4 linked regions of the Tamandua tetradactyla genome follow. The protein of the gene in region 1 interacts with the protein of each later gene in a pairwise test. Links are inferred from orthologs where the notes say so. Each region holds a gene or a part of one and is shown on either strand. Other genes may lie near its edges. The genes, in order: CHD3, IMMT, PTN and HABP4.

Region 1 (7,450 bases):
AAGCAAAGAGATGTAAGAGAGGAAGAGAAAAGTGAGATACAGAGACTGAAACAGTTATATTCAGGAATTAAAAAAACAAGCAAGAAATGAAAGAACAGTATGTTGTGTACAGAAGTTTTATCATCCTTCTGAAAGAGACCTAAATACATGGAGGCTTTATCTTTTCTTCCCCCAAGGAATTATAAAATCTCTAAGGTGGGATGTGAGATGAGCCAGAAGGATAAAAGTTTAAGAAGCAAGATTTTTTAAAGTAAGAAGAAGACAACTTCTTGGGCAGGATTCGGTCAATAGCCGAAGGGTGCTGCTGTACTTACAAGGATTTAGATTCATATGCCTTAAAGAATTCACATAAACTGAGTAGGAAAAGCAGGGCAGGCCTCACCTACTCTATGTATTAGTGACAGTTCAATTTATAAACTACCTGTACTTAATAACAGAAACTATATTTATATGTCATTTTTTAGTCTAACCATGCTTTCCTGTCTTTTCTCAATTAATACATACTTCAATGATGAAGAGACCAACAAAGCTGGGCTCTCATTAAGACAAGTTACAATGTAGAGTAGAAAAGGTGATTAAGAGAAAGCAAGCCTTTCCTGAGCTCTCCTCAGGACCTGGTACCAAAAGCATGAAACCAGCAACTAGTCAATCAAAAAGACAAGACGTAAGAGACGGCCAGTCCACCAAAGCAGGAACGACTCATGACAGACAGGGGAACAATCATCCAACCGAACTGGGAGAGAAGTGAAAAGAAAGTAGACTTGTGTGTGTAAAGGCTCTTCGATGGAACAATATCCAAGAAATGTGAAATAGCTGCTGCCTCTGGGGAAAGGACCTGGAGGCGGGGGTGAAGAGGGACAGGAGGGAGGTTTACTTTTCACAGCATACCTTTGTTCTTTAAAAATTTTGTACCTTATGTATGTATTAGTTATTCAAAAGTTGATTGGAAAAAAGAAAACTAAGCAGAGATGAGGAGAGCAAGAGCCAGGCAGGGAGTCAGCAAAAAGGAGGCGGGAAGATAGCAAAGACCAGGAAAATGGCAAAAAAATGGAGGCAGGCAGACTAACTGCCTGAGTAACCAGGACATCAAAAAGAAAGAGGTAATTGAGAATGAAGGCAGGTGGTAAGAGAAAGCATATGGCAGGAAGGTAAATAAGACTTTAGGAAGAGGGAGCACTTTGAGTTTGGGGAAGAGAGACCATTGTCATTAGTGGGATGTTGACAAAGAGGAGAAAGTCAAGAGAGGAAAAGCTGAAAAGCAGAAAGACTAAAAGACACAAGCATTAAACAGTGGAATACCAGCAGACAAGTAGGGTAGACAGACAAGAAGATAGACATAAAAGGGAAGCAAGGAAAAATCATGAATTTAACTGGTATAAATAAGAGAAGCAAGTAGACAGAAGAACAAGATAAGAAACAAATTGAGAAAGGGAACCATGGTGAAGTCTAGAAGGTAGACAGACCAAGGAAAGCAGGCTAAAAAAGTGACAGAGATAGGCAGTCAGGGAGACAGATGGCTAGAGAGAGAGTGGCGGGCAAACAGCCAGAGAAGCAGACAGACAACCAGAGAGAGAAAGAGGCTGCCAGGAAGCCAGGGAGGAGCAGACAGGCAGGCAGGCAGACACCATAATTGGAGCAACCAGGTAGAGGGAGAGAAGCAGGTGGAAACAAGGATAGGAGGAAGAAAAATCAAGAGGTCAGTAGGGAGGAAAAAAGAATCCAAAAGAAAGATACAGGCTGGCAGAGGGGGAGAAGGACAAGGAGAGGGACAATCAGGCAAGCGAACAGATCCAGATGCAAAGCATACTCAAGAGAGAGTGACAAATGTTTGTACAGGGATGTTACACAGCCACCTAGAAAACCAGCTTCAGCCACCCACACCTGCAAATCAGGGCACATGTGGCAAGCCGGCAGAGGTACTTGCCAGAAATGGAGGGTGTCACAGAGGTAGAGGGATTGCAGTGCACACGATGTACTGTGTGGCCCAAATACATGTGGAGACACTTCCAGACACACACAGGGGGCCAGAAAGAGGGGGAGGCAGGCACACATGAGGAACAGGCACACACAAGCAGAGACCGGAAGGCAAAATTAAATTAAGACAGAGATGGAAAGTTACTTAGAGGTGACAGAACCTAAGAAGCATGGGGATGAAGAAGACCGTTTCAGTAAAAAGATGTACATACAAAAAAGCCCATGTACAGAATGAGGCAGGGATACCTAAATGGACTAGGACTGAGAAACTGTGAAAGAGGAAAGGAGAACAAAATCTATTGGAAGAAGACCAGTAGGACTCAGTACAGGAATATGGGAGGAGAGGCAAGGGGATTCCAGTTAAGAAAAAGATAGAAACCATTGTTCAGTAAAGTGTGTTTGGGGAAAGCAGTGGGTCCTTGATAACATTTTAGCCTCTTCAGCAAAAATGTGCATATTATTTTCTTTCACTAATACTTTCTGCCTGCTGCCTACTGACCCCTGCCTTTAAGAGTGCTCCTGAGCACTGCAGAGGCTGGTTAGGGACGCAGCTCTACTTAAGAGACAGAGAAATAATCCTGGAGAAAAATGATTCCAGAGGCATGGGATGGGAAGCAAGAAAAGGGGCAAAGTGAGAGGAAAAGAATGGCAGGAAACTAGAGTGAGAAAAGGGTGACAAGAATGAAAAAGGGTACAACTAATCTCTCCTCCTTCTTCCTTTACTTAGCATTGCTTCTTGGTGTTAAAGGTAGAGGGATGGTGTCACTCCACCTCCAACTGGCAAGTTTTATGTCTGGACCTCTCTGATGTCTAGATCAGGAAGCCACTTTTGGATTCCTTTCCAACCTTCCATTTGATTCCTGGTACTATTTAAAGATAAACACTGGGATAGTGGTGGAAATCATGGGTTAGAACATCAGATGAAACGCCTGAGTGTAACCCCTACCTCTGTCCTTCTCTGAGTCCCGGTGACTTTTCTCTTTCATAGTACCTCAGTTTCTTCCACTTTGTAAGTGTTGGAGATCATGGAGGAAGGAAATACATACTGAAATGGGAGAAAAGAGAAAATAATTTCACAATCTTCAGACTTGATTCTTTTCCCTTTATTCTAAAAATCAGTTCCATTTACACCCCAAGTTAATTTCCCAAGTAAAAATTTACATTCAAGCAATTCCGGGAGGGGAGGGTGAAAGAGGAAAAAGAGTATAGATAAAATTTACAACAAAGATAAATCACTGAAAAGGCTGGGCAAAGGGGAGAATCAAACATGGACTCCTTTGAAAAAAACTCAATCATCGAATCTATTCATATCTTTCCCCCAAAAGTCACTAGAAATTCTATTACTTTTTTTAAAGAAAGAAGGAAAAAATCCAATACTGATTCTCACTTAAAACATACGTACACAATTAAATGCGTTTTAACGTCAACGAGGTATGTAGAAACAGAATTATATATAAACATATATTTCATCTTTTTCCTTTTCAATGCCTGAAGGGGAAAAAACCTTCACATCAAACCACTCCCTTCTGAAGTATTCAGAAAAAAAAAAAAGCTTTTCTTTACAGAAGGGAGGTGGGGAGGAAGAGACTAGTAAAGAAAAGAAAAAAAAATTAAATCTAGTTGGACTAGTATCTAACTAGTTAACCTTTAACAATTTATGCTGATGTCAGACTGAGCATGAGTACTGATTAATGCCCCCCCCTCAAATATTTTTTATAAGGGGGGAGTAAGTCAGCAGCCATTTTTGTTTTATGCAGAAATCCTTCATGCCCCCCCAACACACACACACACACACTTCAGTACACAAGGAAAATATCTCTATTAATCTGTGCACTAATCAGTTATGAAAAAAGGGAGAAATTTGTGGGTTTCTGGGTAGAGGCTTGGAGATGGGGGTGAATAGAGAGGAGAATGGGGGGGTGAAAAATGAAATATTAAGCCAGCCATTTTGTTTTAAAAGGGGATTTTTACCCCCCTCTCCCTTTCTTTATGGAGGGGGTGGCGGTCCTGGAAAGGGGGGGTTGTTTTAAAAATAATTTCAAGGCGGCCATCTTAGTGCCTCAGCTCTAAGAAATATTTCTGAGCGCCCCCCTCAGAATTTAAATATATTTAAAAGCAACGGAGAGGGGGGTAGAGAGAAGTCGAAAACTTTTATATATATATATATATATATATTTTAATCCCCCTTTCTTGTTCTCTTGGGAGGAAAGACAGAGGGGGGAAAAGTCAATTTTTTCCAAGAAAATTTTGGGGGTGGTTTAGCCTCCCTCCTCAGACGGCGGCCCCGAGGGTGGGGGTTTCGGCGGGGGGTGGCCCGGGGGTTTGGGGGGCTGGGGGAGGCGGTGAGGAGGAGGACGCCGCCGAGGAGGAGGAGGAGGAGGAGGAGGAGGAGGAGGAGGAGGAGGAGGAGGTGGTGGTGGTGGTAGCGGTGGGGGAGGCGGGCGGGCGGTGGGTGGGGGGGTGGTGGGGGGGCCAGAGCCACAGGATGGCTTCCCCTCTGAGGGACGAGGAGGAGGAGGAGGAGGAGATGGTGGTGTCGGAGGAGGAAGAAGAGGAGGAAGAAGAGGGCGACGAGGAGGAGGAGGAGGTGGAGGCGGCCGACGAGGACGATGAAGAAGACGACGACGAAGGAGTGCTCGGGCGCGGGCCGGGCCACTACCGGGGCCGCGACCGCCACAGCCCCCCCGGCTGCCACCTCTTCGCGCCGCCGCCGCCGCCGCCGCCCCCGCTGCCCCCGCCGCCGCCGCCGCCGCCGCCCCCGCCGCCAGGTAAGCCGCCGCCGCGAACCCCCAGCCCCGTGTGGGCGCCGCGGGCGGGCTAGCTAGGCCGGCCGGGGGCGAGGCACCCACCGCGCGGCCGAGCCGAGGCGAATCCGGGCGCCGGGCGCCGTCTTGGCCCGTCGCCCCCGGCGGTCCGGGCGGTCCGGGCGGGCAGCGGCGGCGGCCGCCGCGGGGCCAGGCCTCCTCCCCTCCCCCCGCACCCCTCCCCCGCCGCCGCCGCCGCCGCCGCCGCCGCCGCCGCCCCGGCTGGAGAGCGCTGGGCGCGAGCTGCGCGCGCGGACCCGGCCACTCGGTCGCGGCTTTCGGGGGAGGAGGAGGAGGAGATTTTTATTTTTTTTACCCTCAGCGGGGAGGGGGTAGGCAGGAAACGGCCGAGGCGAAGCCAGGGCCCCCTCCCTGGCCGAACTAGGGACCGCGGAGACCCTGGCGGCCGGACGGCGGCGTGGGGGAGGGGCGCGTGGGGGAGGGGCGGCCGCGCGAGCGCCCCTCGGGTCCGGGCCCCGGTGGGGTTGGACCGAGGGAAAATGGGGTTTCCGCGGGTGGAGCAGACTTTGGCCCTAACCCCCTCCCGTCAGGAGTTGGGAAGGCAGAGTGGGGACGGTGGCTTTCGAACCCCCCACCTGCGGGGACTTTGGTGCCCGCCAACTCTGGGGACTGCGGTGGCACGTGGGGGAGGGGTCGTGTGGATGTTTGTGGGCGGCTGATAAGTAGGGGCGGGTGGTGGCCACACTCCACGCAGACCACTTCCTGGAATAGGACTTGGTCACACACACCCCCACCCCCGCCCGAGTTTGGAATCGAAACAGCAGACACTTAAGATTGGGGAGTCCGAAGAGAGTGCCTGGGACAACTAAAAGCCCCCAACTCCACCCCTTCATCTCTCCCCTGCTCTGGGCTCTTTGTGTCAAGTGCGCCTTCCCCCTCCACCATGACCCCATCAGTCTGGGGTGGCCGAGCTGCCCAGCTGTGACTCTCACGTGGCTGCCATCCCCTGTCACTCACTTTCGCGCTGAAACCATCCACACCCTGACCACGTTGGGGGCGTGAACTGCCCACCCAGCTGTTCTGGAGCTTTACCACTACTCAGCACCCCTCGCTCGAGGTGACAAGTCACCTGGCATCCCTGGGCAAGTCCACGGGTGGTAGAGGGGACAGACGGTTTCCTCGGCTGTCTCTCTCCAGGCGCCCAGTGGTAGCCCCACTCAGAGACACCTCGCCGTGGAGTTAGGTTATTTCTAGTCTTCTAAGTGAGCATCACTGTGCTCACACCCCCTGCTTGGGGAACGAAAGGGGGACAGCCACACCTCTGGATGCCATGCAGCACAAATGCACCAAACTTCAAAATGTCTAATATCATTCTCAGTATTTTATATATATATATACACACACACACACACACACACACACACACAAATATAACAGTTGTAAAAACTGTTATATTTGATCATTGAGGCTTATGTGGCAAACGTTGCTGCCTGGTTGAGACAAACTTTGAAGGATTGTGTCGAACTTTCGGAGTTGGGGGGAGGGTGGGGAGGGGGCTGTTGTGTCTCAGGGAAACAGGAGAGTAATTTTTTGGCCTGGTCTTCTGTGAAAAGGAAAAGTTTTTACGAACTTTCCCAGCCGGTCTACTGTGATTTTGTGTGAGGGAAAAGGAATAAAGGGGGGGGGGGGCGGCTTGAAAACGACAGAGGTGCTAAAAAGGGCGGTGGGAGGTGGGGGTGTAGGATGTCATGTTTGGTTAGGGCATTGGTAGCTCGCACCCACTTGGATTCTCAGCTTGGAAGGTGGTAATTGTGCTTTTTTGAAGCGGAATTTGGATATGTGCAAGAGAAGAGCCTGAAAGAATCTAAGATTGAGCTGGGTCTTTGTGTCAATACTCCCTTCCCCCTTTCCTTCTTCGGTTTCTGAATAGATGAGAAGAAATGTCAACTGGTTTTAAAATTTAATGTTTGTAATGAAAGTTCACCTCCCCTCCTTCCCAGGGCAATTTTCTTTTGTCCCTTTTCAGCCCTCCAAGTCAAATGAGTGACCCAGATACACCCCCTCAGATGACTTTGTGAGGTAAAACTTTGGGAAAATATTTTTAGTCTGCTTATTTCAGTTTAAGTGTGGGGAAAATAACCCTCTAAGGAAATTTGTTCAGGTTGCCCTTGTTCATCCTTTTCTAGAATATGAATTTGTACATATTAGAGGTTTCCATTGTTTTTTCACTCTGACTGCTTTCTCACCATTTTGTTTTACGTTCTTACCCAAGACCAATTTTATCCCTTCCCCCTCTTTCCAGTCTCCTTACATTGTTAAACGTTTAAAATAATAGCACTCGTGCTGTTGGGGGAAGGGAGCAGGAAGCCAAAACTCATTTCTTCTCCCTCCCCCTTCTGGCAAGTCTAGAGAAATAATATAACATAATATATAGATGTGATTCCTTGGGGGTGGGGGTGGGGAATGATTGTGGGTGGTGCGGAAAATTCTGGTAGTTTCTTTGCAAAAGGCCTGAAAATACAAACCCACCCCCTGCGTGCAATACGCATGTGCAACAGACCTATTATGGTGGCTCGTTGTGGGGGAGGGAGGAGAATTTGAGAAAAAATAAATATATGTGTGAGAGATTGATGGTGAGATTAGAAGGAGAGAGGGGCGGGCTGGAGGCGAGGCCTGTTCAGAGACTCCTCCTCCTCGCTCGGCTCGCCAGG
Region 2 (7,753 bases), on another chromosome or scaffold:
ATTCCTTTATGATATGAGAAAGTGTTTTGTATTATTTCAATCTTTTTAAATTTATTGAGACTTGCTTTGTGACCCAGCATATGGTCTATCCTTGAGAATGATCTATAAGCACTTGAAAAAAAAAGGTGTATCCTGCTGTTGTGGGGCGTAACGTTCTATAAATATCTGTTAAGTCTAGCTCATTTATTGTAATATTCAAATACTCTCCAATCCTGAACACAGTATGCCCTTCCATTTATTTAGGTCTTCTGTGATTTCTTTTAAAAAATTCTTATAGTTTTCTTCATATAGGTCTCTTGTCTCTTTAGTTAAATTTATTCCTAAATATTTTATTCTCTGTCTAGATGTTCTGTCCATTGATGAGAGTGGAGAATTGAAGTCTCCAACTATTATACTAGATGTATCTATTTCTCTTTTCAGCATTTGCCTCATGTATTTTGGAGCACTCCGGCTCAGTGCATAAATATTTATGATTGTTATGTCTTGTTGAATTATTCCTTTTATTAATACATAGTGTCCTTCTTTGTCTCTTTTAATTGTTTTAAATTGGAAGCCTACTTGTTGGCTATTAGTATAATTACTTCTACTCTTTTCTGATTGTTGTTTGCATGAAATATCTTTTCCCAATATTTCACTTTCAACCTATGCTTATCCTTGGGTCTAAGATGCGTCTTCTGTAGACAGCATATAGATGGATCCTGTTTTTTAATCTATTCTGCCAGTCTATGTCTTTTGATTGCAGAGTTTAATCCATTAACATTTAGTGTTATTACTGTAAGGGCAGTACTTTCTTTTACCATTTTGCCTTTTGGATTTTATATATTATACCTAATTTTTCTTCTCTTTACCTTTGCTGATTGTCTTCATTTCTACACTCTTCACCACACCTCTCTCTCCTGACTTTTCCTATCTGTCTCTAGTACTCCCTTTAGTAGTTCTTGCAGTGCTGGTCTCTTGGTCACAAATTCTCTCAGTGATTTTTTTTGTCTGAAAATGTTTTAATTTCCCCCTCATTTTTGAAGGACAACTTTGCTGGATATAGAATTAGTGGTTGGTAGTGTTTCTGCTTTAGTATCTTAAATATATCATCCCACTGTCTTCTTGCCTCCATGGTTTCTGCCAAGAAATCTATGCATAGCCTTATTGAGCTTCCCTTGCATGTGATGGATTGCTTTTGTCTTGATGCTTTCAAGATTCTCTCTTTCTCTTTGACATTCTGATTAGTAAATGTCTTGGAGTATGTCTATTTGGATCTATTCTGTTTGGGGTACACTACACCTCTTGGATCTGTAATTTTAAATCTTTCATAAGAGTTGCAAAATTTTCAGTGGCAATTTCCTGCATTAGTTTTTCTCCTCCTTTTCCCTTTTCTTTTCCTTCAGGGATACCCACTACATGTATATCTGTGCACTTCATGTTCTCATTGAATTCCCTGAGTCCCTATTCATATTTTTCCATTCTTTTCACTATATTTTCTTTTGCTTGTCAGATTTCAGATGTCCTGCCCTCCAGTTCACTAATCCTATCTTCTGCCTCTTGAAGTCTAACATTGTAGGTTTCCATTTTTTTTTTACTCTTCTACTGTGCCTTTTATTTCCATAAGTTCTGTGATTTGTTTTTTCAGACTTTTGATTTCTTCTATTTGTTCATTCCTTGCCTTCTTTATATCCTCCCTCAATTCTTTTATTTGATTTTTGTTGAGGGTTTCCATGTCTGTTCGAACATTCTGAATTAATTGTTTCAACTCCTGTATCTCATTTGAATTCTTGGTTTGTTCCTTTGACTGGGTCATATTTTCAATTTTCCTAGTATGATTCGTTATTTTTTGCTGGTGTCTAGGCATTTAATTTACTTAATTAGTTTATTCTGGAGATTGTTTTCACTTTTTCTTACCTAGAATTTTCTTGGATGACTTTGTCTATCTGTTCTTTGACCTTCAGTTCAGCTTAGTCCACACCTCTAGCTTAAGTTTTGTTTAACAGATGAGAATTTTTCAGTTCTTGTTTTCTTGTTTCTTGCCCTGCCTGTATGGTGCCTTTTTTTCCCCTTAGGAGGGTCTACTTAGGTATTATACCAGTCAGATTTTCTCATACCAAACTGGCCTCCTGTCAGAAGGAAAGAGTCTCCTGTGTCAGTTTTCCCCGTGGGTGAGAAACAATGGATTGAAAGGCTTTCCATGAAGCTCAGATGTGGCCTCTCTCTCTCTAAGGCCAACTCTGCAAGTGAAATCATTGTCCTCTCCCACTATGTGGCACATGACATCCAGGGGTGAAAGTCTCCCTGGTGACACGGGAGATGACTCCCAGAGATGAACCTGGCCATGGCACCATGGGATCAACAATGCCATCCTGATCACAAGGGAGAAAAGAAGTTTAACAAATCAGGTCTCAGCAGCTGAGAGAGGCTACCCTGGAGATCACATTTATGCAAGTTTTAGTTAAACATTGCTACCTAAAATAACTTGCCAACTCCCAACTCTGCCAATCCTAAAGAACCCCTAGGGTGTTATATAAGATTCTACAAAGGTTCTATGTAGTACAGTAACTTTGCAGAAACCTACAACCTCCAGATGGGTCCCTGAACCAGATAAATCCTGAAATGCAGAGGGGCCAACCTCTCCAGAACATCAGTTAATTCTGTCTCCCTATCCCATATTATTGATAGCCCCTTCCAACATGAAAAAGTTACAATGGGCACAGCCCAAATACCCCTTAAGAGTGAGAGAAAGATCAACAGTTATGGTAGAGTTATACAGAGAAGGTAGGGTTTAGTAAATGCGATTGCTGGATTATTATATTGATATTTCTTTTAGTCTACAGTATCTTAGAGCAGTTAGAAGTAAAAACCTAAAATTGTGAAATGGTAACCCATAACAAAATCTGAAATTTGTTCTACAACTAATTGTTGTGATGTGCTTTCAAATTTTTTGTATATGTGTTATTTTTCACAAAAAAAGTAAAAAAAAGTTGCACTAACATCACCACCAACCACTATGTAAACATATCCATCACTCCCAACAGGAATCCTGTGTGTATATATATATATATATATATATATATATATATATATATATATATTTTTTTTTTTTTTCTTTCTTTTGCATGGCCAGGCACAGGGAATTGAACCTGGGTCTCCACCATGGAAGACAAGAATTCTGCCACTGAGCCACGGTGGTTCACCCAAGAACCCTGTATATTTTAAGCCTTAACTTTTCATTCCCTATTCCCACCCCATCCCTAGATTCTGATTCTATGATTTGCTTATTCTAATTCTTCAATATCAGTGAAATCAAACAATATTTGCCTTCTTGAGTCTGGTTTATTTCACTCAACATGATGTCTTCTGGGCTTTTCATGTTGTCACAGGAATTAGGATTTCATTTCTTTTTTATGGCTGAGTAATATTTCATTGTATGTACATATCACATTTTATTTATTCATTCATTGGTTGATGGACACGGGTTGCTTCCATCTTTTGGCAATTGTGAATAATGCCACTATGAACATCGGTGTGTACTGATAATATTTTAAAGCATAACAATGAATAGATCTGAAAAATTCCATGTGGATTGTGAGATTAAGGACTTGAGAGAAAGGGTAAGTAAAAGGGTAGGAAATAAGTGAGAGGCTAAATGGGGGTTTGAGATCTTAACTTCAGAAGGGTCACTAATGATGTTCAAACCCAAGATATGGCTGTCCCATACATGGATAGGGCTGAATGAAATTGCTCAATGGCACTAAGAAGTTCAAAGCCAGGATGTCAGAAGAGTAATCGAAATGGCACTACCCAAGCCTGACAGTGATGAAGAGGGACAGAGACGGACAGATCATGATTCAGTCACTAAAGTTACTTAGGAACTTGGGAAAACACTCTGTAGTTGTTGGGTGGCAAAGATGCATAACAGAGATAAAATGCAATTACTAAAGCACCCTGATAGCATAAGATATACGCAAATGTAAGTAATTATTTGATTTTAGATAATTTTAAAATCCATTTCTCCATTTTACAAAAGGGAGTAGTATTGCTCTTTACCTTTGGGTAGGATACTATGTCATCAATTACCTAGTTAAGACTAGAAAGAATTTGAATACACGACACAGGCTATTTATTAGATAAACCAAAGATACTTGTCAGATAACTTAGTTTCGATAATGTTCTGATTATAAGATTAATACTACTAGTAGTAATGAATGCCACGTTCAATATTTAATGTCGTAGTTTGATTATAGATTCAGCGGTATACTTTGCACAACAGTGCGTCTGCACTGACCTCCTTATCTTCTAATCTACTCCACAGACCCGGTCAAAATCACCCTCTTGAAATTAAAACTTGATGGAGAAACCGGTGAGAGGCTCAATCTAGAAGGAGTAGAAGCTGTGGAGTCCGACCATACAGATTATTACCCCTGCCCTGACACTAGATAACGTGAACAATACGTTCTGCACAACAGTCCATCCAGTTCACCCATCTCCTGCAGTCAGGGTAAATCCCTGAAGGGCTGTCAAGCGAAACATACGCAAACCGAGACAAAAGCATTGTTTAAGTAAGTCTGGCCAAACCGATTCGTTTCTACGAAATATTCAGCTGACAAACACCGCTGAGCTTCCTTGCTTTAATTCTCTGCAGTGTCAGACCTATCCGTATTCAGCGAGGGGCTACAGAGCTGGAGCCGCACGTAACCCGGAAACAAAAGTCGCCCTTTCCGCCTCCTTCCACCAATCGTCTCCGACTCGTAATCTCCTCTACAGCCCCGCTTCCGAGTTAGCCCATTCTATCGGCAAGGGGCGGGGCATGGAGCTGCGTGTGCGCAGGGACGTTGGTCGGTCTTCCGGTGACTGCGGCGCGGAGGGGCGCCGGACGTACGCACGCACGCCGCCCTGTTGCCCACACGCCTTCCCTTAGGCGCACCGCCCCGATAGCTGTCTAGTACTCCAGCCGCGCTGTTCACCCGGCCAACGAGATGCTGCGGGTCTGTCAATTGTCCGGCGTGACCGCCGCCGCCCAGGTGAATACAGGGGCTCTGGGAGAGAGCCCCGGAGGCGAATGACTCGGGGCCGCTAACGGAAAGTTGGGGTGGCTTTGGCGCTGCGTAGGCCCCGGCTCGACGCGCGTCTAAGGGCCGCCCTCCTAGCGAGCATTTCGGGAGGGGCTGGTGCGGCAGTGAATTCGGGAGTCCACCGACTGGGGTGACTGGAGACCCGAGGGTTATCGTTGAAGCCGGCGGTGTGGCTAAGTGGCGGGGAGGCGGGCACAGGGCTAGGCGGGGCTTCGGGCTGTGCGGTCCAATCAACCCCGTGTCGGCCCAGTCACGACCCAATCCCGGCTATGGCTCGCCGTCGCGGGTTGGACGCGCGCGGCTAGGTGAAGGTCGGAGGGCTGGACTACCGTTCCCAGCAGCACTTGCGGTGGCCCATCCTGGGTGCTGCCGCAGTGAGCAGGTGCCTACAACTGCTGGGCTCAAGGTTGTAATTACCCGGGAGGGACTGCCCTTCTTTCCCAACAGAGAATACCTGGGAGCTATTCTTACTCTAAGCAGAGTTGAAAGAGTCTAGCTTTTGGAGCCCAAACTCCTGTTAATGGAGAAAGGATGGGAGTCATGACCTTGATTTGAGGTCTAAGGTTAGCCTGTGTCTCCAGGTGCTGACATAACTTTGACCGACGTTCAAGGAGCCTAGACACCAAACCACTTTAAGTTTTCATGAGTAATCAAAGTAACTTACTAACATTACTTTTTTTTTTTTTTAAAGTAGGGCTATTTCCATTGTTCAGAGTTTACTGCGGATTGGTAGTTCAGTGAGATGTGTTGCAGTAATTGAACAAAATCTGTAGGCCTACGGAGAGAGAGGACATAAAAGTCAAACTTTGATTTTTGTTTTTGCTTCCCTCCAGGTTTGTGTCTTTCTGCATTTGTTGCCGTGGAAAAGAGAAGCAGCCTTTTCTGTGTGAAAGTGTGGCTGTATTAATTTTCAGTTGTTGCTTAATAAATTAACAGCTCAAAACAATGCCCATGTTTTTCGTACAATTTCTGTAGATTAAAAGTTTGGGCGTGACTGACTGAGCTGGGGTCTCAGCTCAGGGTCCATACGTGGCTGCAGTTAAAGTGTTAGCTGTGGTATGTTCTTGTTTAGAGCTGAGTATCCTCTTGCAAGTTTATTAAGTTTGTTGGCAAAATTCAGTTCCTTGCAGCTGTAAGATTGACTCCTGTTTCCCTGCAACTATTGTCAGAGGCTGCTGACAATTCCTGCTTTGAAACTCCCATAGGGAGTTTATAACATGGATGTTTGCTTTCTTCCAGGCCAATAGTAACTTGTCTCTCTGACTTTAGAATCTCTCTTTTCCTGATTCTTACCTCAGACCCTAATTTAAAGAGCTTATGTGATTAGTTCGGGCTCAGTTGGATAACATCCTAATTGATTAACTTAAAGTCAGTTTATTAGTAACCTGTATTGCATCTGCAAAATCTGCCCCCCACCCTTTTTTTTTCTTTTTGCCACAAAGCCCTAGTTATGGCACACCTTTTCTCATTTTGCTCTCTGTTTACATCTTGGCTGTCATTGATCTAGACTGTCTTACCTAAACTCCAAAATTACTTTTTCCTTTTGTTACTTTTATCAAAATACTTTCTGCTTATTGGGATCCCAATTAGGAAATAAGAAAAGTGATTAAAACTTTAAAGTGAACCCTGAAGCTCTCAGTTAAAACTTCTAACCTTCAAATTGTTAACTTGTAAAATGCGTTGGTTTATTCTCACACTCACCTCCGTCATTCTGCAGCATTTGATATTGTTGCTTTATAAAACTCTTGGCTTCTCTCACACAACGTTTTGGGGCCCATTTTACCCTTCATCTCTTTTCTGTGTTTCTTTTACTGAGTCTCATTGCTTATCTTTATATACTCTCATACTTGGAGTTATATCAGTTCTCAGAACTTTAACCCCTAATCAGATGACACTCTTCTGTTCTCTTTTGAGCTTTATACTCAAATTTCTGAATTCTTGTTTTAATTTTCCGGCTTTACCCAGAATATTCCACTTGTTAAAATCCTTTTCATCCCATAATTTAAAATGTTTCCTACTTTTTATCTTGCTTTCTACTGTCAGTTTATTACATAGTGGTTAGTAAAGGCTTTTAAAAAGCATATAGATCATACCTGCCCTTCACATCTCTTCACACTCAGAATAAATTCTAAACACCTGATCACGCCCACCTGGCCCTTCGTGATCTGGCTTCTTGCATATCTTTTCTACTCTTCCTCACACTATACCACTGATATCTCTAGCACATGCCTGTCTTTTCATTTGTTGTTTCTTTTGCTGGGAAGTCTACCTACACAGCTGTGCTTAGCTTGCTCTCTTCATTCAGCTTATTTTTCTCAACCTTCTCAGAGAGGCTTTCCTTCCTATTATTTCTTCAACAGACTTTGTTACCACTCAGTCCTTCTTGTATCACTCTGTTCTTACCTTTCTTTTACTTTGTAGCTCTTACTACTACCTAAAGTTATAATGTATATTTGTTGCATGTTTCCCCCATTAAATTGTAAGCTCCTCAAAGGGACCTCAAAGGGACCTCAAAGGGACTGTGTCCATCTTGTTCACTGCTGTATTTCCAGTACCTAGAATAGGTATTACAGTACTTGGCTCCAAGTAGGTGCTCAATAAATGCTTGTGGCATGCTTGGATGAAAGAATGAATGTGTTCCATCAATTTTTCTTATTCTCCATAAGTGAATGTTACCTCCTTTCCCCCATAGCTTT
Region 3 (7,703 bases), on another chromosome or scaffold:
GAAGGCATCACCATCAAAACAATGGAGCCAAAGTATTCAGAGAACTGAAACCCTGGTCTGGTGATCTGGAGCCAACCAGAGTTTAAACTGGGTTGAAGTGTGCTCTGGCGATCTAGAAACCGAACCCATTTAGTCTTAGATCACTGAAAGTGTCCTCAACTTGGACATTATCTTCAGGACATAGGGCAATGATAACTCCCCTTATTCCCATGCCACCAAGTTAAGAAGCATAAGTTTATAGAGAACTGGAATTTATATTCTAAATTCTGAATTCTGGTCCTCAATCTACCATTAATTTATTGCACCCATTTGAACAAACTGGCTAACTTCCGTTTCCTGGGAAAATCTGAGTAGTAATGAAAGCATCACACCACAAATCAGACTATGACCAGAATTCATGTGAGAATGACATTTAAATGAAAAAGCAGTAGATTCGCCAAAGAGAGAATATTTAATTACAATATTTAATTTCTAAAGTTGATTTGATTCTTGGAAATGGTTAAAATATTTGGGGACCTTATTTCGTTTTTAGACCATTTCCAATGATCAGGTTTTCTGAAAATTCAAATCAGGCACTGGCATTACTAGAGTTAATATATACATATATATATATTTTTAAGTGTCCATAATTTGCAAGAGTCCTGCTACATGTTGCTACATGTGAAGATGGAATAAGGTACATGAAAACTTTCAGTAAATTAATAGATCCAAATCTCCTGGGAAGAGGTCTAAGTAATCACACAATTACATTTTAGATTGTACTATAAAATGTATATATTTATATACATTTATTATATTATCCAGATTGTCTAAGTACATCACATTAAATTCAGCTCATAGAAGTCATATGATAACAATAATTTCATTTCCTACTACTGAGAAAATAATGCGTTTGTTTCCCCAAGCAAACAGCTGGAACACAGTACCTAATGCCGTTACAAATGGCTTTAAGTGGGTATCCCTCATAGAAGCCTTCCACTAAATCAGGAAAAGAAAGTGCTAAATGGGATCTGTGAACAGTGGAAAAGGAAAAAATTGCCTTCCAAATGGTTAAAGAACAGCAAGATATCTCTTCAAGTACAAAAATTCTCAAAAGAATAGCATTAGTTGCTTAATCTTAAAAAAATTATCATCTTATTTAACTGAGAAAGTACAAATATTGCTATTCTGAGATAACTCATGCCAAAGGGAGAGGGAAAAGAGATCATGTCCACTCTATTTTCCTTCAAACTAACAGGATTGTGAGTGTTTTTAATGATTTGGTCTTTAAAGGGCATAATTTGCTTTAGAAGGAGCATACTAAAGATGAAATATAAAAGCTTCATTATCCACATTGTGAAACTTCTCTTTTGTTTCACTCCATTTGCCTTTTAATACTTACACATATCAACATGTCCTCAGATGATCAAGGGACAAAAATTGGTTGTACTATTTCGTCAAGTCCACATTTGCCTAGGATCACAAAACTGGTTCATTATGTTATTAGTTCAAAAGAGCTCCTTGGTAGTTTCTTGATCTCCTCCCTACCCTACCCTCCAGCACACACACACACACGCATGCGTGTGCAACCATGCACATGCACACGCATACACTCCACATCTTTCTTAAGCTCCTTAAGCAAAATGTCTAGATGACCCTTAAAATGAAATGCTGAAAGGCTAGAATTTTGTTTCCCTCAAATTCTTCATTCTCCTCTCCCACTTCTCTTCCTGATTCCACTCCTATATTCTCAAGATATCCTCAAAGTTACAAAGAAGCTGTTAACAGAGATAGGAGTGAATGAACAAAAGAATGTATATAAACTCTGTGTGTGTGTGTGTGTGTGTGTGCGTGTGTGTGTGTGTGGTGTGTTAAGGAGAAAGCATGTGAGCACGTTAAGGAAAGAAAGCTCTGTATTCGATGTGTTCAGTAGAGAAGACGTTGAACACACTCCTCTATTTTAAGTAATTTTGGCTTATTAGAAGCATCATCTCTGATAGAAGCTGTAAGTATCTGGCAAATTAGGAATAAATGTATCCTAGGTCCATGTGGGTGAAATAGAAAGTTCAAGTGTCTGTGCCCTGCAGTTATTAAAGTTAACATTGAAATGAGGGATGGGATTCAAGGTGGCTCATTTAAACCTAGGACTTACCTATTCCTAGCACCCTTTCTGGGCTGGCAGGCAGGGCGCACAGTGCTCAGTTCAGCTGGCACTGGGAGGTCCTCACACCCTACCTAGAAATGCCAGCTAAGAATCATCAGTTGGCAAGCCCCAGGGGCAATCAGAAGCAGAAAAGAATGAAAAATGAGACCCGCCTGCTCAGGCCGCCTCTCTTCTCTATCCAGCCACAGACACACCTACTAAAGCATTAGGTTTTGCAAAGAGCCAAAAAGCATTCCTCCAACCCACCCTGGCATATTCTACAGCTGCTAGCAGAAACACCGCCCAAATGAATGCAAAACATTACAAAAGCTTCTTTCTTGCCACTCATCTAAATGTACCCTAACTATCCTGACCTAAATCCCCCAAATTTGCTTTAATTTGCCTGTGCATCCGGTTCAGTTTAGAAAGCAATTTTAGCAAAGACACCAGGTAGCCCCTCTCCCATCTACCACCATAATCTGGCGACGCTCAGAAAAGTGGGCAGGGGTGAAGAGAAAATGAACTCCAAGACGCCACAAAAAAAAAAAAAAAAAAAAAAAAATCGCACATTCCCTTTCACTTACTTTGAGTTGCAAATGTTCTCTCCCGCGCTCAGGCTGCCTTTGTTGGAAGGGGCGAGGTTTTCCGCTCCCGGAGTCCAGGTACGGGACTCGCTGCTGCTCCCGCCGGCTGCTGCTGCCTTCGCTCGCTGCTGGACTACTGACTCACTGGTCTCTCTCTTTTTCTTTTCTCCTCTCCCCACTTTGGATTTTCCTCCGTTCTGGAACTCCCTTGGCGGGATTTTTGGACTGGAAGGCGGGGAACCTGATCCTGCCTTGGACTCAAGTACTCCCTGACAGGGAGTGAACGGAAAGGAAATGGAGAATGGGAGGGATGAGAGGGACGGGCAGAGATTACGCGGGCCGGGCTAGGGAGGGAGAGCGCGGTTGAGAGCTGATTGGGAGTTTATTAAAAGGAGAATACTCCAGGGGCCGTCTCTCCCCTACACGAGCAAGAAAGCGGATTTGAAGGAATAGGTGATGAGATGTAACATTGTTTTGTTTTGTTTTTGTTAGCAAAGAAAATGCACCCCGTATTTCTTTTCTAAACTTCAAGCATTAGCTATTTTTTTTGGAGGAGTAGATACCCCAGTTTACAGAGTAGGCTGTCTTGAGTATAAAATCGATGGCATTTCAAGTTACAATATTGGCCCCTTTAGAAGCAAATGATTTGGAGGATGAAAATGCGCACTCTTAAAATCCTGGCTTTTCATTTCTGCAGATTCCCTTCCTACACGTGTAACAAGTCCTAGTTTCCTCGAATGTCAGTCCCATTACATGTTCACTCACCTGCATGTCACAAAATGTGCAAGGTACTTTTCTGTGCTTGTCACAAAGAATGGCAGATGCCTGAAAATTCCCAATTAAGTGTCACTTTCCTTTAGGGGACTCTTTCTCCTTTTGAATTGCTTGGTACCTTTACTGACCTATTTAGGGACATGCCTTTGACACCCAGACATTAGGGATTAATCAATGTAACTCAAACTCTGTGGTTTGTCTAACTCAGAGCCTGGGTTTCATGGCTCTCTGGAATTCCCATCTCCTTCAGTTAAAGGAAGATTCTAAGGTGATTAATCTAGAATTGTTTTAGTGATACAAAAAATGAATGTGATAAAAATGAGATATTGTGTAAAATGCTTAAGAATTATAAAACAAATTTACACAAACATTCTCAAAATATAAAAAGGGCAATTTTTCTTCCATTCATCAGTTGTTGCTTCCTGCTTCTTGCATCACATTTTCACATCCTTCAGTTTACCGTTTGATGGTGTACACCCCAAATGCAGTTGTAAAATATCCTTCCATTTCCCATAGATCAGAGATTACATCTCCTTAAGTCAATTTCAAAAATATGTATTATGTACCTCATTTAACTCTTAAACACTTAGAATCATTCTTAAACCCCCCAAATTTGAAGAATTGTTTTGTAGCAAGTAGTTTTTAGGGACTCCTGAGCCTTTATATTGACTGGTTATCTGGATGAGTGCCTCATAGAGTAGCTGTCTGGGTAGAATTTTTAATAAGTAAATAAGTGAAGCTTTTTTTTGTCTTTTTAAGAGAAGGATAAGCAATTCATTTGCACGCCTCCAGTCTATCTCCATAACCAACTTCTCCAAATATACTCTTGTGATTGTTAACGTCAAATGTCAACGTGTCTGGGTCATGGTATCCAGTTGTTTTGTCAAGCAAGCACTGGCCTGATTGTTGTTGTGACGGTATTTGATAGATGAGTTAGCATCTGTTGTCAGTTAATTGCATCTAACTCTGACTGCATCTACAAGCAACAAAAGAGATAACTTTCAGCAACAAGGGAGGCTCCTCATCCAATCAGTTGAAGGTCTTAAAAGCCAGAACTGAGATTTCAGAAGTTAAAAGGAATGTCTACCTCTACTTCAACCAGCTAGCTTCCTCTAGGGAATTCAGTTTCACATTCATTGGAGTTTCCAACTTGCATCTTGACCTGCAAAATACAGACTTGCTAATCTCTATAGTTGCATGACCAATTCCTATGATAAACTTATTCTGCTTCTCTGGAGAACCTTAATACAGCCCACCCTATCTTCAAATGAAATAAATAAGGAACTAACTGCTTTCCTCTATACACAGTTTTCAGGTTGCCTATTTTCCTTTTGTGATTCCATTTTCCTGATGAAGCAAGCAATGCTTGCTTTAATGTAATTTCATTAAATTAAATTGTGGAAGAATCACATTGTTATTTTTTAATACTTTTTCCAGGTCCTTCCTTAAAAGGACTTCTCAACATTTCCTGTCAGTCCCTAGAGGTGGAGTTTCCAGGCCATTAAACAGAGGGTTGTCTATTTCCTTTTACTTCTTAAACTTTTTCTGAGCATCTACAAAGATAACCTGTTGCTACCAGGTGAACAATGTTAGCTTTATTGTGGTGTTCCCTATAGGGCTGATAAAGTAAGTATGAGATTCCCAAAGCCTTCTGCTCAATTATATGTATTCTATCAAAATATACCTCTATTCAAATAGGTATCATAAAATTTATTTACATCATTGATTTTCACTTGGTATGTTTGCCCTCCAGGAGACATTTGGCAAAGGTTGGAGACATTTTTGATTGTCACAGCTGCAACTTGGTGGGGAGGTGCTACTAGTATGCACAGGCTAGAGGTGCTACCAAATATCCTACAAGTAACAGAGAATTATTTGACCCAAGATATTAATAGGGTTGAGATTGAGAAACCCTAACTAATGTTATTAATCACTGAATTTTAAAAATGTAAAGAAAGATTCAAGAGTTGTTTTTTGAAAGAAATAGAAATCTGTAAAATTGAGATTAATACTAATTTCATTCAATCCATGGTTTATGGAGAATTTAAGTAGAGCATTAATTTAAATGCCCTCTGAATGTTCAATCTCAAATCCACACTTCATTCTATTCCATAGTCACGGCTCTTTTGTTTTAAGATTTCAAGTTGTTCAGTCATTTCACCAACATTCTTTGAGCACTTATTACATTTTTGTGCATTGGTAAGACTCATGAATAAAAAAAACTAAAAAATTACTTGTTTCATATAACTTACTTTTTTTCATTGTTTTCTTTATTAGAGAAGTTGTGGGTTTACAGAACAATTGTGGATAAAATATAGAATTTCCATATACTGTACCATCACCAACACCTTGCATCAGTGTGGAACATTTGTTACAATTAATGATAGCACATTTTTATAATTGTACTACTAAATAAAGTCCATGGGTTAACTTGTGTAGTGTAGTTCCATGTTTGTTTGTTTTTATAATTCTGTTACCATATGTACATTCTAACATTTCTCCTTTAAATAATATTCAGATATATATTTTAGTGTTGTTAGTTGTCTTCACAATATTGTGCTACCATCACCACCATCTGTTACTAAAATATTTCCATCATTCCAAATAGGAACCACGTATATTTTAAGTCCTGGCTTCTCATTCCCTATTCCCACCTTGTCTCCTGGTAACCTACAGTCTATGAGTTTGCTTATTTTGTTTCAAATCAACGAGACCATACAATATTTGTCCTTTTGTGTCTGCCTTATTTCACTCAACATGATGTCTTTAAGGTTTATCTTTGTAGTGTACATTAAAGATGTGATATGCTTCACGGAAAAAATAAGATACTGAAGATTAAATAAGAATTAAATAAAAATGCAGATTTGGGGGAGGAAAGACTCCCTGGGGTGAAATTGGAGTGAAGGCTTACAAAAGTTGAGGTGACAAGCCAAGCAAGTATTTGGGAGAAGAGTCTCTAGACTGCAGGATCAGTGAATGTAAAGGCCTTGAGTCCAGACCTTGCCTGGTGTCTTAGAGAAACTGTAAGGAGACCATTGTAGCTGGAATCCAATGGCTGAGGAGGAGTTTGGGAGAAGGTGAGGTTGGGGAGTTGACAGACCAGATCATGCTCAGCCTTTGGCCACTGTAAGAAATATACATTTTTTCTGATTGAAATGGGGGCTTTGGGTAGAGGATTAAAAAAGCCTGACTCCATTTCACAAAGTCTCTGATGTGTTGAGAGTAGAGCACATGAGGTCAAGGGTGAAAGCACAGATCCTAGCTGGGAGACTGTTGCAATCATGCCTTGTCCAAATATCTTCCCCTTGTTCCTATAGTTTACCCGTTAACATTTTCTCTGTCCCCAAAATTTCCTGTCAGAAGTTATTTTGGCTTCCTAATGCTTGGTCTTTCCAGGTACAATTAATGAGGCCCTTGCATAAGAGTTTCCAGACTAAAATATAACTAATATAAGATGATTCAAAATCATAGAAATTATAACATGTCCTAAGGCTGTGTTGAAAATGAGGCTGCTAATTTTACGGTGACAAATACAAGGAGAAGTGTGATCAGCATGAAGTTAAAAAAATGTTAAGAAACATGTTGAAAAATTTGTCATTGTGTCTCTTGGATTGCCTGCTTGGCAGAAAATTCAGATTCTTGATTATCGCTCTGGGTTCTTCAATATCCCTAGAATGCAAAAGGGCAATTCATCAAGCTATCATAGTTTGATAATATTCTCATTAATTCATTTCTCTTTCTCTCCCTGAAATATTTCAAATTTAATAACTTTGCTGTGACCAGATTATAAAACCTACTTCTCTCTTAGCTATATTTTTGTAATATGTATGCTGTTTTTTGATTGGAAATAAAAAAACAACTAAAACTAGTTTAAATAAGTCAGGAATTTATCTCACTTAAAATATAGGTGGATGAAGTCTGTATTTCAGTCTTCAAGGACGTAGGTCTTTCCATCTTTTAACTTTGCATTTCAGTTTTTGATCTAGGACTCCTTGGGATGGTTACAAGAAACTTCAGGCATATTCGATTACAGTAAACAAGGCCAAACTCTAGTAGAGTATAGGTTTGCTTCCCTAGTCAGGTAGCCAAATAAAATTATACTAGAAAAAGGAAGAGGTGGAAAGGATCTGGGAAACAATGAACAATGCCTGCTAAAATTTCTCCCTGTAATTTAATACATTTGCAGTTCATCAGTCTCTGAATAATCTAAGTAACTTGATTTA
Region 4 (7,073 bases), on another chromosome or scaffold:
AAATATGTTAACAATGACAATTTTTGACATTTACCTGTTGTGAAAATATAAAAGTAGTTATTCTAATACATTTCCTGTCTACAACTTGTAGTTTTTAACATTTCTATTCAACTACAGAATTACAGAAGCTTATCCCACATTCTTTCTGCTTCCTCCAAGTCATTTTCTTCTTACTATATCAATTGGGACATCAGTATTCAACACTTAAAATGCAACATTTATTGTACATTTTATATTAAAGTTTCTTCCAAACTATGGAACAAACTGTGGACTTTTAAGTAAAAATTGGCTATTAAAATAATTTTATCATCAATACCCTGTAAACATTTCATTCTCCCTCCAGCACCCCCCCAAAAGAAAAATACTAGGGTTCAATTAATTTTTTCATAACTTAGTGTTAAGAGATCACAAATGGCACTGAACCTAGTCTGTTTGTTTTTTGCTAGATCAGCAGCTCCAAGTGGATAATGCAAGCTCTTCATTTCACTGACCCTTTCTAATAAAAAGCTGGCACTAATCTAAACCCAAGCCCAAGTGAAGGGACAAAATACAATAAAACTGAGTGAGGTTTTTACAAAATAAAAGTGAGCTTTGGCTCAAAGATCAGAGTTCTGAAAGGAAAAGCAAAGCTGAAGCTGCCTCTGTTGACCTGAAGTATGAACTTATTTTCCAAGGCTCACTCAAGGGTCTACGTATATTGTTAGACAGGTGGTCAAGGATATTAAAACCTAAGTCTTCATGGGAAAACTTTCATTTCTACATCCTCTTGGGATTAATGTTTCACTTTCATGTCGAAAAAAAAGTTCTACGTGTGCTAGGTTATAATGTCAAGTAAAGAAGCAGGTTCCTGCCCAATTTAAACTAAGTGAAAAAAAAAGTTCTGTGAACTCACATATATAGATGCAAGCTGTTAATAGTAGGGAAAATAAACGATTTTCACTTTACTTCATACATTTCTGAATTGCTCAAAATTTTTATAACAAAATATATGACTAATATTTTTTTAAAAAGTAAAATGAAATATATTAACAGATACCGTTAAATGCAGTTTCATACTATTTTAAAGGAAAGAATGAGTATTTTCACATGTTAGAAACGGGGAGAGGAAAAAATTAGCCTTCCTCAAATCTTTAGTTTATAACTCTGATTGCTATCTATCCTCACTTACATTTAAGAGAGAAATATAGAACATAACACAAAACGTAAAATATATCTCAAGTCTCACTCACTGTTTAAATAGGCTCATGAACTTACCGGCCTAACAAGAAGTCCTGAGATACCCAAGAGCAATTTTGGGAATTTTCAACATCTTTATTGTAATGACCCGATTTTCTGATTCTCAAGTGACACTTCAGGACTCAACTTTCCAGATAAAGTTAAATCATCACCTAGTTCCTAAAGTTAATGCTCTATACTTACACCTACAGGCATTCTCTCAATAATCTAACGCACAATTTCTATCAAGAAAGGAACAAATCAGTAAACCGAGTTGAACACACTATACATCCTAACGTTAACTATTTTTGCTGCAAACCTCAGGACCATTGCCTTATTTCAGAAAAACAAAGGAAACGCAGGTGGTTTTCTTAAGGCACTGCTGTCACTTCGGTGAGGGAGATGAATTCTGAAGTACACTCCCTGTATGCAGACAGTAGCTCTCCAAGCTCTTCCCCAGCCCTTCTTGCTAAACAGGGCGTAGGGAGGCTCCAGCATTATTGTTCACATTAAAGACGGTATCCTGAGAGTAGCCCAGAGTTAATGACGAGTTACACATCCCATCAACATACGTGATGTACTTAAAACTGATGCTTGCTGACTTCTGGAAGCTACCGAGTGGGGTTGTGCGAGGGCTGAGCGTGGAAGAAGCCGGGGATCCCGCGTCCAGCACCGCGGCCCTGACGTCACAGGGCGGCCCCCCGCGGGCACCTCGGCCTTCCCTCCATCACAGAGGCCTGGAGGCCCCTCGCCTCGGCCTCCCTGCGACTCCTCTTGCCCCCCTTTCCCCCACCTTCTCCTAGAGGGGCGCCCCTTCCTCCCCCTCAAGCTTCTCTTTTTGCCTCCAGAACTGAACCTTGCGGAGGTCGTGCTGGAGAAGGAAGATGGTCTCTGCTAGCTCTCGAGTTGACAGCTCCGGGACAGGAGCCCCCAGTTTTCGCCCCACACACATTACCCCAGCAATATTTGTCAACTTTGTGCAACTCGTCCTAAAGCCTCAGTTTCGGGGCTTCGAGACACCCCCTCCCCCACCTGCAAGCCTCCACCCCTTCCCTATCAATAAAACGGGGTGGGAAAGGCCTGAAGGGGCGGGACACCACCACCCACTTGGGTCTTCTTTTCCTATCCACAACCACAGGGACTCTCAAATTCGACCCAGCTCTTCCCAGGGCTCCCTCCCTTTTCTGGGTCGTGGTTCCAGTGACCCAATCTCACAGTGGGGGTCCAGGGGCGGCTGGGGCAGGATGACCTCCGTGACCCCAGCTCCTTCCCTTCCCGCCCCCCACGCCTACCGGGGGCACCCAGGGACCGCGTACCGGGCGGCTGCGGGCCGCCCCCGGGGCTGTCCGTCTGCTGCGCGCCGGGGGCCGGGAGGCTCTTGCGCTCCTTCTGGGACTCCCTCCGGACGCCGCCCGCGCCGGGTCTGTGGCCCGAGGCCCCGGCGGGGCTCCTGCCGCCGCGGTTGCCAGCCCCGGCCGCCGCCGCCTCGTCGCGCCGCTTGCGCTGCAGCTGCTGCTGGCGCCGGCGCTCGGCCTCGCGCAGGATGTCGAACGGGTCCGACTCGTCGTCCAGCAGCTGGTGGAAGCGGTTGGCCACGACGCAGCCGAAACTCTCCTGCATCGTGGCGCCGGCGGCGGCCGCGGCCACGGGGCTCCCCAGAGCGCCCTTCATGCCTCCGCGGCCACTGCGGGCCCGCCGCGGGCAGCCCACGCGAACTAGTCTCAGCGAAGCCGGCGGCGAGGACCCATCCCGCCCGCCGCCACAGCCACCCTCCCTAACCCGCCCGCTTCCCTGCCCGCCGGACGCCCGCCCCCGCGCCGCAGCCCCTGCAACCTGCCCAACCACCGCCCGACAGCCAATCAGATCACTCGGACACGCCCCCTTGCCTCGCCGGCGAGCCTGGAAGCCCAATCGCCGGCCGGCCGCTGTCACGTCATGCGCACTCTCTGCCCCTCCCCCTCCGATTCCGCGGAGGGTTGGGGCCCTGGCTAAGGGGCGGAGCTACTGGGAGGAGAAAGGGAGGTGGGCAGTCCAGGGGCGGGGAGGTGCGAATAGCCCCTTGCAGGTGTTCTCTGGGACACTGGTTCTACATTCGTTATCGACCACTCTGAGGTTTATATTCATTTAGCCACTCAGCAACTATTTATTGAGCACTTACTGTGTGCCAGGCTTGATGTTGTAGGAGATACTAGCTCCGTGTCTTCTGCAGACTGAGAAAAAGTTGCTCTGAAGGAAAATCACAGTGTTCTCCACGGGCAAAAGAACCTGACCTGATTATGAAGTCTGGAAAGGCATACCTTAGGAAGTGAGTGAAAAAGAGAGAGAGAGAGAGAGAAGAAAGAAAAAATGGTGGTGCTACTCCTAAAGGAATAGAGCCTTGAAAGAGGCCAGTTTAGTGAGAATCATTTAGTTCAATCTTGAACATTTTGAGGTTTGATATAGTCAGTTGCTGGAGTTCAGAGGAAAGCCCTGGCCTGGACTCCCTTCAGGAAATCATGCCTGGACACCTATGGCAGACACTCTTGGCTGCCTGTTTTATAGCCATTCCTGTCCCTCTTCCATATTTCCAGCACTTGTATTTTGTTTGGGCATCATTAAGTTGAGCTCCTTTCCAGCCTCAAGCATGATTAATCGTAAATCATGCGTTATAGTACCACCCCCTTGCCAGTAATTGGTGCAGGAATAGGCTAATACGAAATATGAAGTCCCGAATTGCATCACTGGCCTGTCTTGAGTCACGTGCACAACTTTGACCCAGTTGCTATACTGAGGGGCATATAATTAATTCTCTGATCAGCCAGTCCTGGGTCACACCCAAGCTTAGAGTCTGAGTGAAGTCAGCTCTCCTGAACCACAGGTAGTGAGGGTGCAGGTAAGGTGATTTCCCCAAGGAAAAGAAGGTTTCTAGTTCCGAAAGGGAAGGGTTGATGCTACACAGGTTAACAAATTATTCCATGTAGGTGATGATTAGCCTGAACAACATTATTGGTACATCTCATAGCATTTGACTGTTTTTGCCCTGAATTATAATTATTTCTCCTTACTTCTCCTCCCTAAGGCCAGAAATCTTAGCTAATTCATTCTATATCCTTTCCCTCCCTTCTTTCTGTCCTCATTCTCAGTGCCTGGAAAGGTACCTTTCATTCAGGGAATAATTGTATGAATGAATGAATTTCATATTTGTATACATATGCTTTTTTTTAATTTTTTATTTTTATTTTTTTATTAACGGAAAGAAAAAAAAAAGAAATTAACACAACATTTAGAAATCATACCGTTCTACATATGCACTCAGTAATTCTTAACATCATCACATAGATGCATGATCATTGTTTCTTAGTACATTTGCATCGGTTTAGAGGAACTAGCAACACAACAGAAAAAGATATAAAATGTTAATATAAAGAAAAGAAATAAAAGTAGTAATAATAGTAAAAAACAACAACAAACAAACAAACAAGCAAACAAAAACAAAAAAAAACCCTATAGCTCAGATGCAGCTTCATTCAGTGTTTTAACATGATTACTTTACAATTAGGTATTATTGTGCTGTCCATTTTTGAGTTTTTGTATCTAGTCCTGTTGCACAGTCTGTATCCCTTCAGCTTCAATTACCCATTGTCTTACCCTGTTTCTAACTCCTGCTGAACTCTGTTACCAATGACATATTTCAAGTTTATTCTCGAATGTCCGTTCACATCAGTGGGACCATACAGTATTTGTCCTTTAGTTTTTGGCTGACATATGCTTTTTTTAAAAAAACATACAAGATTAAAAATATGTTCATAAAGTATACAGTTAGCAATTCAGAGAAATGTCCTAGCATTGGCAGGCTCTTCCCAGGAACAACAGGACTTAACTGTTTGGCTTTTTTTTTTTTTTTCCTGGTTCTCATGTATTCAGTTTAAATGGCAAAGAAAATTTTCTATACTGGCGCGCATGAGACTTTTCCTCCTAAAATTCAGAATTTTTCTGAGCAATTTCCTTTCACTGTTTGTAAGTCCTGTACCTCTAGCATAAAGACACATCTTACTCTTACTGGTATACATATGCTCTTGACAGATAATTTTTATGTGTTAAAATTAAATTCCATATTCTATTAATATGGCTGTTATTTTAAAAACAGAAAATAGAAGTGTCAGCAAAAATGTGGAAAAACAGGAAGCTTTGTACTTTGCAGTGAGGATGTAAAATGGTACAGCTGCTGTGGAAAACAGTGGCTCAGATACCACCGCCACTCACCTTCCACTGGGAAGTCCTTTAGTCACATGCCCTTTGACAAACTCTCAGTGTTAACAGTTCATGGCCCTCCAGTCACAAGATTAAGGAAAATGAGTTGGGAAAGGCTACATACAGTAAGGAGAGAATTTTTGATGAGAACTTTGATGAATGATTAAGCCATCCCAAGGAAAACTACATATATGGAAAGAGTCACAGGTATGAGATCAGAAAAGTCAGGTTAATTAGAGTGCACTTTGTGTGTAGAATTGCAAAAACTGGGGCTATACAGATTGTATTAGTTAGGGTTCTCTAGAGAAACAGAATCAACAGGGAACACTTGCAAATATAAAATTTATGAAAGTGTCTCACGTGACCGTAGGAATGCAGAGTCCAAAATCCACAGGGCAGGCTGCGAAGCCGATGACTCCGATGGATGGCCTGGATGAACTCCACAGGAGAGGCTCACCAGCCAAAGCAGGAATGGAATCTGTCTCCTCTGAGTCCTCCTTAAAAGGCTTCCCATGATTGTATTTACATCACTAATTGCAGAAGACACTCCCCTTTGGTTGATTACAAATGGAATCAGCTGTGGATGTAGCTGACGTGATCATGACCTAATCCTATGAAATGTCCTCATTGCAACAGACAGGCCAGCGCTTGCCCAATCAGATGAACAGGTACCACAACTTGGCCAAGTTGACACCTGTCCCTAACCATGACACAGATAGATAGGAGTTTGTCCTTTAATGACCTACTATGCCTCCTGTGCTGTTTTAAAACTGTCTTGTACCCCTGAAAAGTCAAGTTCTTTAACCCTCATTCGGTATTGTGGAGTGGGATCTTTTTACTGTTTCCATGGAGATGTGACCCACCCAATTGTGGGTAGTAACTTTTGATTAGACGGTGTCATGGTCAGGTTCATGTGTCAACTTGGCCAAGTGGTGGTACCGGTTTGTCTGGTTGGGCAAGTGCTGGCCTGTCTGTTACAATGAGGACATTTCAGTGAATTAAATTATGATCACATCAGCTGCATCCACAGCTGATTCCATTTGTAATCAGCCAAGGAGAGTGTCTTCTGCAATGAGTGACGCTTAATCTAATCACTGGAAGACTTTTAAGGAGGATTCAGAAGAGACAGGCTCTCTTACTGCTTTGGAGTTAGTCTAGACCTCCATCAGAATCATTGGCTTCACATCCTGCCCTGCGGATTTTGGACTCTGCATTCTGATGGTCACATGAGACACTTGTATAAATTTTATGTTTCTGAGTGTTCCCTGTTGATTCTGTTTCTCTAGAGAACCCTAACTAATACAACTTGGTACCAGGAGTGGGGTCGAGTCCAGGGGCTCCCACTCCCTTCCACCTGCTGGTGACTGTGGACAGGAACCTGAGTCTGCCTGGCAGAACCAGCAAGTGACCACTAGTTGGGACTCCTTGGCCTGCCATCTGGGCCCCCCTGGCCCCCCTCGACCTCCATCAGTTCCTCCCCCCTCCTCAGCTGCCATGGACAACCTGGCCTCCTGGCTCACCCTTGAGCTGCACAGGCCCCCAGCCCACTCTGACAGCAGCTCCTCTGGGTCTGCGCCTGCTGCTGCATCTTGGGACTGGTGGGGCTCATGTGCTCTCAAGGTGACGGA

The links.
Region 2: the proteins of CHD3 (region 1) and IMMT interact in a two-hybrid assay, tested with the Homo sapiens proteins (2 studies listed by BioGRID and IntAct). The link is inferred for Tamandua tetradactyla from reciprocal best matches to the Homo sapiens genes CHD3 and IMMT.
Region 3: the proteins of CHD3 (region 1) and PTN interact in a two-hybrid assay, tested with the Homo sapiens proteins (2 studies listed by BioGRID and IntAct). The link is inferred for Tamandua tetradactyla from reciprocal best matches to the Homo sapiens genes CHD3 and PTN.
Region 4: the proteins of CHD3 (region 1) and HABP4 interact in a two-hybrid assay, tested with the Homo sapiens proteins (3 studies listed by BioGRID and IntAct). The link is inferred for Tamandua tetradactyla from reciprocal best matches to the Homo sapiens genes CHD3 and HABP4.

The regions. Positions count from the first base shown.
Region 1 is NC_135332.1:61,727,393-61,734,842, forward strand, and holds the start of CHD3 (chromodomain-helicase-DNA-binding protein 3), read left to right. Parts: upstream 1-4,432; 5' UTR 4,433-4,459; coding exon 4,460-4,742; intron 4,743-4,823; exon of another isoform or gene 4,824-4,911; intron 4,912-7,450.
Region 2 is NC_135343.1:61,150,873-61,158,625, forward strand, and holds the start of IMMT (MICOS complex subunit MIC60), read left to right. Parts: upstream 1-4,753; 5' UTR 4,754-4,961; coding exon 4,962-5,006; intron 5,007-5,322; exon of another isoform or gene 5,323-5,463; intron 5,464-7,753. UniProt on the Homo sapiens protein: Component of the MICOS complex, a large protein complex of the mitochondrial inner membrane that plays crucial roles in the maintenance of crista junctions, inner membrane architecture, and formation of contact sites to the outer membrane.
Region 3 is NC_135327.1:180,237,430-180,245,132, forward strand, and holds the start of PTN (pleiotrophin), read right to left. Parts: upstream 3,014-7,703; 5' UTR 2,707-3,013; intron 1-2,706.
Region 4 is NC_135328.1:123,551,433-123,558,505, reverse strand, and holds the start of HABP4 (intracellular hyaluronan-binding protein 4), read right to left. Parts: upstream 3,004-7,073; 5' UTR 2,887-3,003; coding exon 2,532-2,886; intron 1-2,531. UniProt on the Homo sapiens protein: Ribosome-binding protein that promotes ribosome hibernation, a process during which ribosomes are stabilized in an inactive state and preserved from proteasomal degradation.